Linked DNA regions of Rhinolophus ferrumequinum. The protein of the gene in region 1 binds, or shares a complex with, the protein of each later gene. Links are inferred from orthologs where the notes say so. Each region holds a gene or a part of one and is shown on either strand. Other genes may lie near its edges.

Region 1 (7,670 bases):
GTTATCCTTTTGTAAAGGAAATCTCTGTCAGGGTGTCTCCCTCTCTGTACCAGGAGAAGACAGATGACTAAATCACAAGAAACTTTTATCAATGTAAGAGGTAGGGTTTGTTATACACATAACAAACCTTACTTTTGTTTACCATGCTTTCCCCGGTCACCTCCGCAGAATTGGCCTCCCCCTCATCTTTCTTCATTAGCCAAAGATAGTATTTAAGCTTGAATTCTAAGCCACCTCTGAGAGTTACTCATTTTTCCCCTGGATATCTCCCATGCATATACATGTTCAACTTCTATTTTTCTCTTGTTAGTCTGTCTTTTGTTATCAAGACCCCAGCCAAGAATTTAGAACCTGGGAAAAATTAGTTTTCCTCTCCTAGGGTGTTCTTTGGAGGCGTGTCCTTTGGGAGGTAATTGGATCACGAGGTTGGAGCCCTGAGAGTAGGATTAGTGCCTGTATAAGAGGTCAGGAGCTAACTTGCTCTCCCTGCCCTATGAGGATAAAATAAGAAGGTGGCCATCTGCAATTTAGGGAGAGGATCCTCACTGGAACCTGACCATGTTGGCACCGTTCTTGAACTTCCAGTCTCCAGAGCTGTGAGAAATAAATTTCTGTTGTTTATTAGTCACCCTGTCTGTGGTGTTTTGTTATGGCAGCCCAAGCTGATTAAGACAGAGATGTAAGCAGCTACTAGCATTTTCCAGGACATGTCCTTGTCTGCTTGTGCACACACAAACACACACACACTCATAAGTGTGCACATGCACACACACATCTCTATATATATTCTCAGCGGGTCACAGCGTATCTAAACGTCACCTTCTCTGTGAAGCCCTCCCTTCTGCCTGTAGGAGAAAATAATTGCTGTAATCTGGTTCTGTGCTTCCATATTTCTCTTTCCTGGTATAAACAGTCTTGTCTCCTCATGTCATGTATGTCTGTGAATCGGTCTCTCCTGTTTGACTCTGAGCAATCCTCTATTTTATTAATCTGTATAGTATCAGCACGCAGAGTACTATCTGGCACGTATTTGGAGCTCAAAAATGTTTCCTGAGTGAGGAATGCAGGAAAGGTAAAACTTTTGAAATTGTGGTTTATCTTCTTATCAAAGAACTATGTTTTTATCTACTTATTTCTCAAAAGAAATATAAAAGCTAAAGGAATCTGAGCATCAGAGAGGCTAAGCTTACTTATCCAAGGTCATTTGACTTCCCTTCATCTCAGCTTCCGGTGGGCTCTAAGGTTCTTCTCTGAATGTGTAAAATACGTGGACAGGTAGCAGAGAAATGACTAAAGGCAATCAGTTGTACAGAAAGTCAAGTATCTTGCACTTGTGCGGTAGGTCCCTGGTACTGCTTTCACTCCTGGCTGACGGTAAATTGATTCAATTGAGGAAGGAAATGATATAAGGAGAACAGGGATCTCTCAACTTTACGCTGTAGGATTCCACAGAAAATAATCTGGATATTATTTTAGCCAGGACAATGTGAAGTCACATAGAAGGAACACTTTAGAATTGTGGAGTTAAAAGACAAAGAAATGAAAGGGATTTTTTTCATTGCAAAAGCCAGAGAACATTACAGATGAAAAGCAAACAAAAAGTGTCCAAGTAGTAAACAAGACTCGTAAGAGCAATTTGAGTATATTGGATGCTGTAATCTAAAATTTGTCAGATCCAAGGGGCACTTTTCAAAGCACAGTGGCTTCCGCTTGCAAGTGATTGTACAAGTCTTTAAGACTAATATTAAGAGTATAAAATACAAGAGGGTCGACTGACCCTCCTTCCAAGAGAAGGATTTGACCAGAAATTTTCAAAAGGACTCATGATGTAACGAGGAGTAAAAAAATTAAAGATGTCTCCATGTCTAGGTGGTGGGATGAGGGCGGCAGAATTTCTCTGTATACGGGGCTTAGAAATGGTGATTTCTTTAGGGAGAGGCCCAGGGGATTTATCTTGAGGTTGAGCCAAATACACTGATTTGCTTATGTTTTATGATACACACAAATTAGCAGAACAAAGTTTTCTAAAGATGCCTTTATTTATATTTTACCCAAGAAGAAAATGTTTCTTGTTCATAGATCCAGGAACATACCCCTCCCACCCCCCTGCTGAAAGTTCCATGAGCCCTTGTCCCCCTCCATCTTCCCACACCATTGCCACAGTAACCCAAGAAGGTGGAAAACAGGAATGGCTGGAGAAAAGGCCAATGTTATTGAGGAGGAAACCAAAGACAAATTGGATATTTAACAAACACATTTAGAATAAAAAATTTCGAGGGATTAGAAAATTCTCTCTTTAAAGGACAGTTTAATGGGGGTAGGGGCTGGGGGGTATGAATTTGGATCACGCTCTGAGACTCAACAGAGCAGACACACCAAGATGAGGAATATTGTTGGGAGATGAGGGCTTTTACTGGGAAGGACCCAACCACTTTCTTCTAACATGGAACAGAACAAGTTTCACGTGATATCCTAGACGACAATACAGGGCTGAATGCCAGTGCCTAGGAGGTGGATCAAGTCAACACCTAAATGAAAGCCTCACTAAGTTATGCTCCCAGATCATGGACCCCGCCCCCAAATATGGATTGGAAATGGCAGGATTAGATGAATAAGGGGGCTTTGGGACCAAAACTCTTCAAGAAGGCTGCACTTCTGCAAGTCAATCCACAGAGATTTCAAGGCGAGGCAGTGGGTAAAAATATTTGGATCTTCAACCAAACATTTTAGAATTCTGTTATCTTTTAACACAGAAACAGGGTTTTGTGGGATACTTGACTATAGAGAAGCCAAAGGAACAACTTTTTGCCTGTTTCCCAACTAAACCAGACTCAACAAGCTCTCATTGCTGTAGTAGCTCTTGCGAGTTCAGAATATTTAATTAGTGATTTTTGTGCAGAATTTTTTTTTACTATTAGAGATAGTTATCCTGTGTAAACACTGCCGAATGACTGGAATCTTGAATCCATAAGAAGTTTAAGATTCGTACTCTAAATCCTCCATTTCTTAATTCTGAGCCCCCAGTTCTCACAAAGAGGCTGGCTGCCGTGTACACTTGGGTCCAAGGACTAGAAGGGGGGCTTCCAGCTATTATTTGGGGGTGAATATTCGAAAGAGTCAAAAATAAAGAATTCCTTTGAAAGAAAATGGAGCTAGAAACATACCACTGAAGGAATAAAACACAGGAATGTATGTTCGGATATCATGGGTGGAGAGCTGAATACACTTCACCAGCAGAGAAATAAGGTGTTCTGACTGCAGGATGCATAGGGCTTTCCCTCTCTAAGCCTTCTGTTCAACCCTATCACCCGACCATCCATGTTTCTCTAAGTGCCCATTGTATGCTAATCAGCAGAATGGGAAGATTTTTGCTGTCTTCAAGAAACCAATGTTAATTAAGGTGTTAACACGTTAAGTGGTGCATTAGAAGCCGGAATGGGTGTGATCAGCATAAAAGTGGTTAAATTGTGAAACCATGCTAGGTGGGGTGTAATGCAGAGAGGTCTTTGCTCTGTGCTCAAGTCCTGAGACATTAATTATGCCCTGGCTCACTGCGCACCACAGCCTGGTGCAGCCCTGAACTTTGGACTTGACTCCCAGGCCTAGCCTCTGGGGCTTAATCCTCTGGGGGCTGTGGGCTCCAGGGGGCACTAGTCACCTGGGCTAAGGGTCCACCAGGCCCACGCAGTGATAAGGAACAACCTTGCTGCCCGGTTTACCTCCCTACTACATGAAGGACCATCATCTGGGCACAAGCCAGGCGTTGATGTGGAGGCTCCAAGTCCAGCAGAGGCAGGTGGACAGGGCTCTGCACTGCATACGCACACATCGTACCTTCCACGCACCTGCACACTCATGGGCAGCCTGCCGTCCTTGCGCACATACATACACATGCACTCACCCAAACACACCCACGTGCACAGCCTGTCTTTCTCCTCGAGTACACATACACTCGTGTGTGCACACACCTGAACTTTCCTCCACGTGTCCACACAGCCCCCTTCATCCCTCATGTGTGCACATCTGCAGGTGCACAGAGCAGCCCCCTCTCCGCTGTGTATGCACATAATACCTGTGCCCACAAAATCTGTTCACTTCTGCCTTTGTGCACACACCTGGCCACCTCTCTTCTTTGCGTGCACATGTGCATATACACCCAGTTCCCTTTCCTGTGTGCATATACACCTGCGCACACTCTCAGTCAGCCTCCCACTCATCTGTGTGCGCATATTCACAGGTGCACACACGAGGCTCCTCTCCTCCGTGTGCACAACCCCTGACCCGTCTCACATGTGCGCACGAGTGTTCACACACATTCCAGCCTCTGTCCCCGTGTGCGCACATGTGCACATCCCACCGGCTTTTCTTCCCCGCGCGCGCACCGCCGCGCACTGGCGCCAATCCCTGCTCGGCGCGCACACGCACAGCCCATCCCCCTCGGAGTCTAGCGCGGGCAGCCCGGGCGGGAGGAGGAGGAGGAAGAGGGAGCCGAAGGCGCGAAAACGCGCGCAGGCGCGCTGCGGGAGCCGGGCCGCCCCCCACGTCACCGCGCCGCGCACGTCACGCCGCCCGACGCCCGCTCGGCAGGGTGAGCCCCGCGCCCGGCGCCTCGCAGGGCAGGACCCTGGGCCGGAGCGCGCGCCGGGACTGCCCACGTCTCTGTGTCCGCGTGTCCGAGCCCGCGCGTCCGAGCCCGCGCCCGCGCCCTCGTGCCCACCCCCGCGTGTCCGTGCGCCCACCGCCAGCCAGGTGCGGCAGGCAGGGGGCTGGCGAGGGCTAGGGTCCCGGGAGGGGCGCGGGCACGCGGGGCGCCCACTGGTCCCCCGTCCTCCTTCCCTGCCGCGTGTGCGCGCCCCTCCCGGCTCCCCGGCCTCCTGCCCCTGGTCCTGGGCGCCGCCGTCGGGGGCTCCCAGGTGACTCGGCCGTGGGGTCGGGGGTCCCGGGTCCCCCTTGGGGCCTGCAGGTGGCCTTCAGGCGGAGCAGCAGCACCGGCGTCTGCACCCGGTGGGGGTCGGGGTCCGCCGGTGCGCAGGGGGTCTAGGGGTCCGCGGTGCGCGGAGGCGGCGCTGACCCGGACTTGGCCCGCCCGACTGCCGGTTCCGGCGCGCGGGAGGCGCTCGCGACGAGGCGGTCGCGGCCTAGTGACAGGCCGGAGGCCGGACCCCGGAAGCCCACCTGTCAGAGTTACCGGCCGGCCGGGTGGGCGAGGGGAGCGACCCAGCCGGGACCGAGGCACTCCTTGGGGTGCGCATTTGCGCAGGGACAACGGTGCTGCGCCTGGCGGGGGGTAGCCGGGTGTCCTTAGTTGCGCCCAGGTTGCGCGGGCGCAGGCTGGGTGCCAGGCCCGACCGGGTGCCGGGTCTTTGTGTGGGCATCGGGGAGGACAGGGGTCGTCAGGGAGCCAGACTGGGCATCCTATTGTTGGATGCATTTCCCTTTGCTGAGATGACTTAAAATCCCAGGTTGGGGGGTGGGGGTTTGCCAGCTGCGCTTTGAGGATGCAGTGTGGGTTTGGAATGGAAGGTGCCTGCTGCCTGGAGGGGCAGTCAGATTGCTGGTGGTACTGGGGGAAATGTTGATATTAACTTCTGGTTTTATTCTTACTTATTTATTTTTCCTTCCCTCTTTACCAGAAAAATCATTTTTCTTCTCTGGAGGGTGAACATTTATAGCATCGATTTCACGGATCTGGTAACATGGCAAAAGATGTAAGTATGTTTGCTTGGTTTTACAGACAGATGTTTGCCTAGCACTACACTCTTTGTAGTTTTCCCATTTTATTTCAGAAGGACGACACAAACTACAGTACTGTGTATTTTCAGACTTTTAAAGCACATGAAATAGGATAAAGATGAAAGAAATTTATTAATAATAGCTTTTATGGAAATGTGTGTGATTTGCTTCAGCAGCTGGGTTTTCAGTCTTAAAACACTGGGTGACAAACACTGCATGAGGCTATACGGTATCACTGACTTTTTCTTCTTTTCAGAGGGTATTAACTTACAATTTTTAATATCTTTGTTGAAGAACACACTGAGTTGGGTGAGATGGAGGGCTGGGCCCAGGGTGACTGGTGGTGTGACCCTGAGCACCTGGTTTGTGGAGAGTGTAGGAAGTTAATTCAACTTTGATGGATAAAGTGCTGAGTGCTTGTTTTGGCCACTTTTTTCTCAGAAAAAATCTTGGTGGTTAATGAAACGAACCCTACTTTAGCTTGTTTTGTGTTTGTCATGAAACACTAAAGTATAGTGAATAATTTTTTTAACTTGTTCCAAGAACTAAGCTTTTGGATCTAAAAATGTAGACTATTTTATTGGTTATGTAGTTCTTACCACACTTTGTCATATCACTTAAAGTCATGGAAACCCCAGTTCTGTCCTTCAGTGTTTCTCAGAATGCGTTGTTCTGTAAGCCTTAGTGAGAAGAGGCTGTTTATTTATTTACTTACTAATTGCACAGAGCTGGAAATGTGGCTCAGATAAACTGCATCTGCCTGAAACAACTAGAGGTAGTAAAAATGTGTCTGTAACCAAAGAATAGAGGCTTTCCGCCTTTCCATCAGTTCAGTGGTTTTAGTATTCTCTAAAAAGGCTGAGTGAGAGCCTCCTACACTCTCCCGACTGTCAGGCACGCACTCACGTTTGCTCCTGTCTTTCCATGCTGGGTTTCATTTGGTAGAGAGTGTATGAACACACAGTTGCACCCTGTGTGGTGTGTTTTAAGTTAAAGTTATAATCCGTATATAATATTAGGTTGATTTTATCACGTCTAATTGCATTTGTTGATGGCCACATCCTGTTCTCTGGCACATATACACCAAAGGGGCAAGACGGGTAGTATGTGCTCACAGCAGAATAATTAGGGATCTTGAAGAGGGCGCTGCTGTACCCCATGCTTCTGTTAGAGTGCAGTTCTGGGGTTGTGTGTTTCAGGGAATCAAATTTATTTGCCCTTTTTTATTAACCAACTAGAGGAGAGGGAGTGACTCCGTGTTTGAGAGACTCGCTTTGATTCCCTGCTGGCCTCGGGGATGTAAAGACAGATAGTAGAGGCCACTGCCATCTGGTTGCAGGAAGAAGGGCTTGGTAAACAACCTTTTCCGACATTCACTTCTGGAGAAGCAGCCCCTGCAAAGTGCGGGGGCAGCTGCGGGCCGCCTGCTGGCTGAATGGCAGGGTGGTTCCCCTGGAGCTATGAGGTTGGGTCGTGGGTGCTTTGGTGATAGTGGGTAGTCTAGGCCGAGAAACGGCCTACGGTGAGGTAAGTGGCCTCCCTGTCCCTAGAGCTGGCTGTTGCCAGGAGCCGCTGGAACCACGTTTCCCCGGGACTGGTGGGTCACGCTGGAAATGGAGATCGTGGCCAGTGAAGGGATTTACTTTACTTCGGCCTTTTCTCTAGGTACCTTATCTTTTTTAAGTAGGGGAGTGACATGTGAGTTTGGAAAGATGACTTTGGCAGCCAGTGTTGGAGGGGAAAGCAGCAGCCGTTAATTGAAGCCATAGCGGTACAATTTTTCTTAGGTGTAACATCAAGGCCTACAGCACAGGTGGGGGCCGAGCCCTCAGGTTAAGGTGGAGTGGGTTGGGACCCCATCTTTGCAGAGCTCTGGGGGTTCCATGGGAGGCTATTGGGGCCCAGGGAAACTAGAGGGGGCTGGAGTTAGGTTTTGG
Region 2 (8,201 bases), on another chromosome or scaffold:
ATCTGGCACAGAGTAGGAGCTGGTAAGTATATGTTAATATGTTAATAAATGAATGCTTGAGACTATGTGCCAGGCATTGTATTGTGGTAGGTACTTTACATCTGTTATTGCATGTGATTCTTACCCATATAATATAATATAATATAATATAATATAATATAATATAATATAATATAATACTAATAAGAAAAGTGACATTCAGAGAGATTTGGTAACTCGCCCAACGTCACACAGCTAGTAATTAGTAGAACTGGGATTGGAACCCCAGAGCTATGTGAGTCCAAAGTTCCTAATGGCCCAGTGTGGCTGGATAGGTACCTAATAGATATTCAGTCAGGGGTTAGTGAAGGTGGCATTCTGTGGGAGACTTCTGGTACCTGAGTGCTGATTGGTGGTTGAGGGCAGCCAGTAGGTAGGACACGTAATGAGGGGCCATTGCTTCCCCTCTGAGGTGGTCTCGGGAGAATCGAATCAGGGCATCACTGAAGCTGCAAAGGGCAGAGGTGGCTTTTGTACCTGCTGTCATTCTGGCGCCCCAACAACCTCTGTTCCGGGTACTCTAGCCCCACCTCCAAGATACTCAAGGCCCTGTTTGAAGGAGCCTTTTCCCACTGGCGGGCCTTATTCACTCGGAGCCCCTTTGGGCTGCCCCAGGAGCAAGACCAGGTGTTGGGAATGGATCAGTGCCTTGGCAGACCTTCTCAGGAATGCTCCCAGTTCTGACAGTGCCATGCCATGCACCCGCCGCTGCAGTGACTCACTGACCAGGCTGCTTACTCGAATGTTCTCTTCCAGGATCTACAGGCAGGAATGGGCAGCCATTAGCAGAGTCCTAGTCCTGCCCTCCTCCCCTTTCCCTATGGGAGCTGCCCACCTGCCCGCCACTTCCCACTCACCTGAAGCACGATGGCTGGCATTGGTGAGTGGTAAAAGCCAGATGGGTCTGTGTCAGGCTCCTGCTCCCGGCCCCACTCAGCTACTTCCCCATCCAGTGCTTTCTGCAGCCACTGCACCACATTTGCCTGGGGGAAGGGATGAGGGGCAGCAGGATATAGCAGGGCACTGACCCTGCTAGAGACAGTTAGACATGTGACTTTGCAAATACAGGCACACAACTGGTAGCAGAGCTTCTCTGGACCTGGGCCCCAACTACTCACCTGGACTTTGGACACAAATGTTGCCTCAAGCTGCTCAATATTCTCCAGGGTCAGGAGGGGCTCCAGCTGAGACACGTCAGCCTCAGGCCCCAAGTCCAGGCTCCCCATCATTTCTGGCCTGGTGATAGGTGGCCAGTGTCACACTGAGCCTGCAGCTTCCGATCCACCCACTTCCCATTGCCCAAAGCGCACTGACCCCAGGTACACATGTAGTGCCCAGTGCAGTAAGGTGAAGGCATCAGCAGCTCCCAGCTCAGGCCCTTCCAGGAATTGCTGTAGGCAGCGGCGCAGGCCACTATGCAGGGTGTGGGCCCATAGCTGGACCACCCTGTAGTGCGGTGGGCAGCAGGGTGCTATTAGTGCCTCAGCTCTGGCCAACTCGGCTGGTAGAGCCACCCGCAGAGCCTCCAGCCACCCTGCTAGGGCCCCTGGCCCAGGCAGCAGATGTGTCCCAAAGTGGACCTGCTCCAGGCCCTCCTGTAGTGCCCGCAGACAGCGCTGCCGCCAGTCCCGGGGGGCTTGCTCCAGGGAGGTTGTGCGGCCCGTCTCCACCTCCGCCACACGCACAGCAGCCACCAGCAGGGCTGGGTCCTCCCGTGCCAGCTGTCCTGCGGCCCCTACAGCCGCCTCCACAGCCTGGCCCAGTGCCTCCGACAGAGGGCCCAACCCCTCGAAGATTGGCAACTCCAGGTGCCCCAGAGATGCCCATGTCTCCTCTTGCAGCTGCTCAAGCTCCCGAAGGCTCACATATGCCTCCAAGAGCCGTTGGGCATCAATCAAGGACTGTGTGTGGGCCACTGCAGCTGGCACTAAGGAGGGAAAAGAGGAGACCGCCCTGGGTCTCAGCCTTCCCACCTGTGCAATGGATACAGGATCAGATGCGGAGGTCCTGGGGCTGGGATCATGTGTAAAATATTTAATAACCAGTATAGTAGAGCATTAGCCAATCTGAAAGGATCCACGGAAGGTCCTAGAGGCCTGGTGGGCCAGGGGTAAACCCTTGAGCTAAAGGAACATGAGGAAGTCAGGGATCCTGGAAAGAAGGCAGAGAAGAACTGGAGGATCATTCTAATGGCTATTCACCCACTCTGTTAGGGAAATATTTCAATTTAACAACAAGGATGGCCAGAGCCACTTGACTGGGTGTCCTTTCTGACTCAGACATCCCATGCTCAGGAACACCAGAATGAGCTAATTTGCACCCTGCTTCATATGCCATCTGAAGCCTGAGTTACTTTCTGGGAGGTTCCTGGTGTGGCCCGCCACGCAATCTCCCACTAGTGTCCCAGCCCCTTGATGGGTGTTGACTGACTATTGGATGGTTGAGGCCCAGGGCCCCTGCATACTCACCTGCCTGCAGCCGGGGCAGCAGCTGAGACAGGGCCTGCAGTTGTTTGTGCTGGCTGACCTGCTCCCGCAGGGGCTCTAGTGCCTGTACAGTCTCGACCATGCCCCGGAGCAACCCATGGGCCTGGCCCAGGGCCTCACGGGCTTCCTGCATGGCCTCAAGGCCCTGGGCCAGCTGCCACACACCAGTCTTCACACCCTCCAGGTATGACTGCACCACTGACTGTGGGAGGGAGGCAGCCAATGAGGCCTGGCCAGCCCTGCCGCCCACCCCCAGCACTCTTGCCCCCTGCCTGATGCCCACCTTCATGCGTGCTTCCAGGGAGCAGGTACGCTGCACCTCACGGCTGCGGTACTGGCCCAATCTGGCCAGCTGCTCCGGCCGGTAGAAAATGCCTGAGGCCCACTTGAGTGCTGCACCCCGGGCTAGCCGCTCCGCCCTCTCCTGCTCCGGCCACTCAGGCCCTGGGCAGGAAGAGCCTGGGCAGCCATGTCAGTTGGGCAGGGCCTGAAGGAAGCAGCTGCCGAACCTGCTCCCCTTCCTGCTCTTTAGTCTGGCCCCCAGGGTGGTCCACTCATCTCACTGACCCATAGAGCTCCAGCCAGACTTGGCAAGGACCCAACCCCACCATTCCCCTCTTTCTTGCCACATCCCTCTCCCAACCCACCCGGAAGGTCTCATACCAGGGAGAAGTGCAGGCTGCATTTCGTTCTTGGTTGTTGAGTCCATGGCAGGCCCCGCAGGAGCTGGAGCTGAGGTGGGAGTCGGGGCAAGAATGTGGGTTAGAGCAGGCAGAGTGGATGCTCCTTTGAGATGCAGGTTCTCCCTAGGCCCCTCCAAGGAGGAAGAGGGAGGTTCTTGTCCAGCCCCCTCCAGAAATGCAAGGGAGGTGGTATGACGGACAGATACCCGGGAAGCCTTCCCCTGCTGGGTTTCTTAGTTTTGCCCTGTGCAGATGCCAAGTGAGGCAGGGTAGGCACAGACCTCCCCTGCTGAGTGGCAGAGGACAGTCTGGTATGGAACTCACCAGGCCCAACCAGGCATCCAGTCCTCCGCCCTCCTCACACAGCCTTGGCCTTGAGATGGCCCTCTCCCCGCTGCCCTCACAGCAGAGCTGGACACTCCCTCCACTAGCTCAGAGGGCCTGGGTGGCCCTGGCCCACACCTCAGCACACAGCAGAATTCCTCTTCCCAAGGAAGCCTGTGTCCTACCTCCCTGCCCAGGCGCCCCTTCCTCCCTCCAAGCTCCCTCCCGCCCCAAGGCCACGTAGAGAAAGGAAGGAAACTGAAACTCTGGCATTTTATTCCCAACAGGAAAGAGCATCTGCACTGTGGGATGGGGTGGGGAGGGCAGGGCGCCACTTCCTTGGGGGGCGGGGAGTCCACCCAGGACCTCTTAGTGCTCAGGACACAGACGCGAAGCAGATGGCCTCAACCTGGGGTGCAGAGGGGGTTGTGCAACATGGACGCAGACAACAATGTCACAACATGAAAACTGTGTTGATGGGCCCCTCAGAGGAGGGTGTGCACCTCTACAGAAGAGTGAGAGATCACAGGCTGCTGTGAAGAATGCTTGTGGTAGGTGATGGCAGGAGAGGGGCCCAAGGGGTATGAAAGCTGTTTATCTTGAGAGTTAAAGGGGGCCACAGAAGGGACTACAGGGTAGTTAGTAATAATGTAGTGGTCATTGGTGAACCATCCAAATCTACCCTTCAGGACAAAGGCACTTGTTCCCCTAGTTGCCAGGAGTGTAGGCTGCTGAGATCTCACAGCTGAGTCTCTGGGTCAATTTTGAGGTACAAAGGCCCAGTACCTTTGCCTGGATGTGGAACACCTTGGAAAGGCCACCCTAGTTTCAGAGCCTCTCCTAGTAGGATGGGCTGAGGCCTCTATTTTAACTGCCTCGCAGTTTAATTCCTTCTCTGTCCAATTCTGTTTGTCTTACTTCCTTATGAGCGTGGATCCTCCAATAAAGGGATTTGCAGGCAGATCCCTGTCTCAAAGTCTGTTTCCCAGAGAACTTGATCTAAAATGAAAAATAATAAATGATAAATAATGACAATGTTAAAAATAACAAAATGATACCAGCAAACACATAATTCTTCCTACATGCCAGGAACTGCTTTAAGTACTTTACATATATTTATACACCGGTAAACATGTTTGCATAGGCTGAAAACTGGTTATAATTCCATGGTCTCTGACCACTGCAGTATGGAGACGATGAGGCTGGAATCAGGGAAGGGGAAAAAGGATGGAGACAAGTGGACAAGCTAGATATAGTTAGTGCTTTTGTTTGGCAGAAAGTGAGGTATGAAAATAGGGTGGATGACCCCAAGAAAGTAGGGCAGCTTCCAGGAGCAGAATTGGGAAAACATATTGGGTTCATTAGGCAACATGATCTCTTTTCCTAAGATGGGGGGCTGGGACAGAGTTAGTGGAGTTGGGGCAGGTTGGCCAGTCAGGAAGGTTCTGGTGGCTCCCCTTTTTCTACTGCCGGGATTGCCCACCGACTTGTTCCACATGCTTCTACACCATGTCCTGTCTCCCGGGATTTGCGGGTTGTTTTCGTCCTTTTCGGCGGTTGGACATTTGCTGATGGTCCCCGAAGTTTTGCGACCGTGCCGGCAGAGAGGCATTGCGCCAGGTTCCCTGGGAGAGCGCGGAGCGGAAGCGGAAGCAGATACGCTGGCGCCGGCGGCGGGGTGGCCAGGAACGGAAGCGGAAGTGGCGGCGGCGCCGGCCTGGCCTGGCCTGGCTGAAGGGAGGCGGCAGGCTGGCGCGATGGCGGAGGCCGGGCCACAGGCGCCGCCGCCCCCGGGTACTCCAAGCCGGCATGAGAAGAGCTTGGGACTTCTCACTACCAAGTTCGTGTCGCTTCTGCAGGAGGCCAAGGACGGCGTGCTTGACCTCAAGCTGGTGCGGCCCGGGCTAAGGGAAGACAGGGGTGAATGGTGGACCAGGCCTGGGCCGGTAGCGGGAACCCCCGGGGCGGCCCAGCGGAGCCCTCAGAGAGCAGGCCACCATCCGTGCGTTTTCTCAGAGGAAGGAGGCCGGGAGCGGTTTCATTCATTCGGCCGAGGCCATTGGGTGTCCGCTATGTGCTAGTCTCCGGGCTGCAGGTGCTGATCCTCGTGGCCCTCCCCGCCTGGTGTGGGGAAAAGAGCATCAGCATATCAGTCCAGGGTGCGCCAGGCCTCTTCCCGCCCCGCGGTCCTGAGTTGCTGTAGTGCCTGGGAGGAGGGTTGGGACCTAATCCACCCCCTTTTCAGACCGCTCCAGACCAAGTCACAAGGTAGCTGGGGGTACACCTGAGAGTGGGGTTGAGCATCCTCCACTCTCTTCTGTGTGCCAGGCAGCTGACACCCTAGCTGTGCGCCAGAAGCGGCGGATTTACGACATTACCAACGTGCTGGAAGGTATTGGGCTGATCGAGAAAAAATCCAAGAATAGCATCCAGTGGAAGTGAGTGGGGGCACCTGGGAGGGTAATGGGATCTCCTATCCAGAAGTGCCAGGGGTGGGGGGTGGAGGGTGCAGGAGAGAGCAGGGGCCATGGGACCCAGAGTTTCCCAGCAGCTCCTCAGCCCCACTCCCTGCACTCAGGGGTGTGGGGCCTGGTTGCAATACCCGGGAGATTGCGGACAAGCTGATTGAGCTCAAGGCAGAGATCGAGGAGCTGCAGCAGCGAGAGCAAGAACTGGACCAGCACAAGGTGTGGGTGCAGCAGAGCATCCGGAACGTCACAGAGGACGTACAGAACAGCTGATATCCTCCTGGCAGTCCATGCTCCCGGGGAGTGGGCGAGGGCCCCTCTAGTCATCTGGGTTTGCTCTGTGGTGCCCCGGGCTGTATCCCTCTTGGGAGGATGGTCCTGCAGCTTCTGGCCAGGTCCCAGCCTCCGGCTCCCCTCTCAGAGCTCCTCTCCCACCAGTCTTGGCCTGTGATCCGTCTCCGCATAGACCCCAAGCCCCAGTACTTCTGAGGGCTTGTATGACAGACCTCTCCTAAAGAGCTGGGTCTTCTCTGTGGTCTGCCATCTGTCACCATAGGCAGGGCCTCAGTCGTTCTCCTTAACCCCCACACCTTGGCCTACGTGACTCATGAGGACATCTGCAGATGCTTTGCTGGTGAGCAGAGCCTGGGTCGGGGGAGATGGGGGTGGGGCTGGGCTGAGCCACAGCCCTGAGCAGTGGGCTCAGTACCCAAGGAGAGTTACATCTCTTCAGAGGGTTCCTGGGGCCTGCCCAAAGAGGAACCAGGCAGGGTAAGTCCTGGGTTTGAGGGTCACTGGGATCCTGTGGAGGCTAACCATACTAAGAGGGTACAACAGTCGTGGGCTGGGTCCCTGGGTCAGCCCCCATCTGCACCGGCCCCTGGTTTTGGCTTCTCAGGTGTGATGGGCATAAGGGGGGGTGGTGTGTGCATGCTTGTATGCTGAGGGCAGTGACTCCCACTTTCAACTTATAGTTTATTGCATTATGGATACAGGAACTGTTCTTTCTCCATCTTGCACCCCACAGACTGGTTCTGAGGAAGGGATGTTGGCTTTGGCCAGAACACCTACACTTAGGGAGCAGCCCCGTCAATTGAGGAGTGAGGTGCCCCTGGCCAGCAATCTTTCGTCCCACATGTTTGAATCCAGATTTTCTGGTTACTAACCACCCCCTGGGCTCTTGGAAGGAGACAAGCTTTAGTTCTCTGCCTCAGCCACTGTGGGGGATGGGTGAGACCCCCTGTCTAGCTTCTCAGAGACTGTGATTTCCTTCCTTGCTCCAACGGACAGGCACCCCTATTCCCAGCTCAAACTGAGTCCCTGGAGCCTGACCCATTCTCCTTGTTGTTCTAGGAGACACCCTCCTGGCCATCCGGGCTCCATCGGGCACCAGCCTGGAGGTACCCATCCCAGAGGTGGGTGCTCAGACCATGCAGGCGGGGTTGGTTGAGGGCGGGTGCAGGCTGTAGAACCCGATAAGTTCCGGGTGGGGCAGGTAGGTTGAGGCCTGGGGTTCGGGGTTATCTAGGAGAACGGGCAGCCTGGGGTGGGAGAGGACACTGGTCCTGGCCCAGAGTCAGGCAGGAGCCAAGACTGCTTCCAACTCCTCCTGTCCCACACCCCCAGGGCCTCAATGGGCAGAAGAAGTACCAGATTCATTTGAAGAGTGTGAGTGGCCCCATCGAGGTGCTGCTGGTGAACAAGGAGGCATGGAGCTCGCCGCCTGTGGCAGTGCCTGTGCCACCCCCTGAAGATCTGCTCCAGAGCCCACCTGCTGTCTCTACCCCTCCAACTCCACCCAAACCTGCTATGGCCCTGACCCAGGATGCCTCACGCCCAAGTAGTCCCCAGATGACTACCCCCACCTGTGTACCCGGCAGCATCGAAGCCCAAGGGGTGACCAGTCCATCAGCTGAAATCACAGGTGAGGCAAGATGGGCATCTGGATGGAGTGATCTCTGGGGCCCAAGAGGCAATACTTCTGTATTGTGGGATGCCATACTCGGAGTTGTAAGAGACCCTATGGGGGTTGTCCCTTTCATGGCCACCAACTGGCCTTCCCTTGCGATGGCGGGGGAGCCCTTTTTAACAGGCAAGCTCTGACTGTGAAGGGGCATTAGTGGTAGCAGTTTTTCCCCAGATCCACCCGTGGCTCACTTGCCCTGGCAGCCCCTCTTGAAGTGTGGTCTCAATAGCCATGT

What was found.
Region 2: TFDP1 (region 1) and E2F4 share a complex: the UniProt entries of both Homo sapiens proteins name them as parts of the DREAM complex. The link is inferred for Rhinolophus ferrumequinum from reciprocal best matches to the Homo sapiens genes TFDP1 and E2F4.

The regions. Positions count from the first base shown.
Region 1 is NC_046287.1:55,998,199-56,005,868, forward strand, and holds the start of TFDP1 (transcription factor Dp-1), read left to right. Parts: upstream 1-4,562; 5' UTR 4,563-4,749; intron 4,750-4,760; exon of another isoform or gene 4,761-4,913; intron 4,914-4,979; exon of another isoform or gene 4,980-5,244; intron 5,245-5,633; 5' UTR 5,634-5,696; coding exon 5,697-5,708; intron 5,709-7,670. UniProt on the Homo sapiens protein: Can stimulate E2F-dependent transcription.
Region 2 is NC_046298.1:16,921,394-16,929,594, forward strand, and holds the start of E2F4 (transcription factor E2F4), read left to right. Parts: upstream 1-5,113; 5' UTR 5,114-5,289; coding exon 5,290-5,424; intron 5,425-5,860; coding exon 5,861-5,970; intron 5,971-6,110; coding exon 6,111-6,272; intron 6,273-6,590; coding exon 6,591-6,634; intron 6,635-7,353; coding exon 7,354-7,415; intron 7,416-7,626; coding exon 7,627-7,924; intron 7,925-8,201. Other genes in the region: EXOC3L1 (exocyst complex component 3-like protein), read right to left, coding at 378-488, 698-798, 897-1,022, 1,158-1,275, 1,354-1,966, 2,508-2,727, 2,809-2,984, 3,189-3,234. UniProt on the Homo sapiens protein: Transcription activator that binds DNA cooperatively with DP proteins through the E2 recognition site, 5'-TTTC[CG]CGC-3' found in the promoter region of a number of genes whose products are involved in cell cycle regulation or in DNA replication.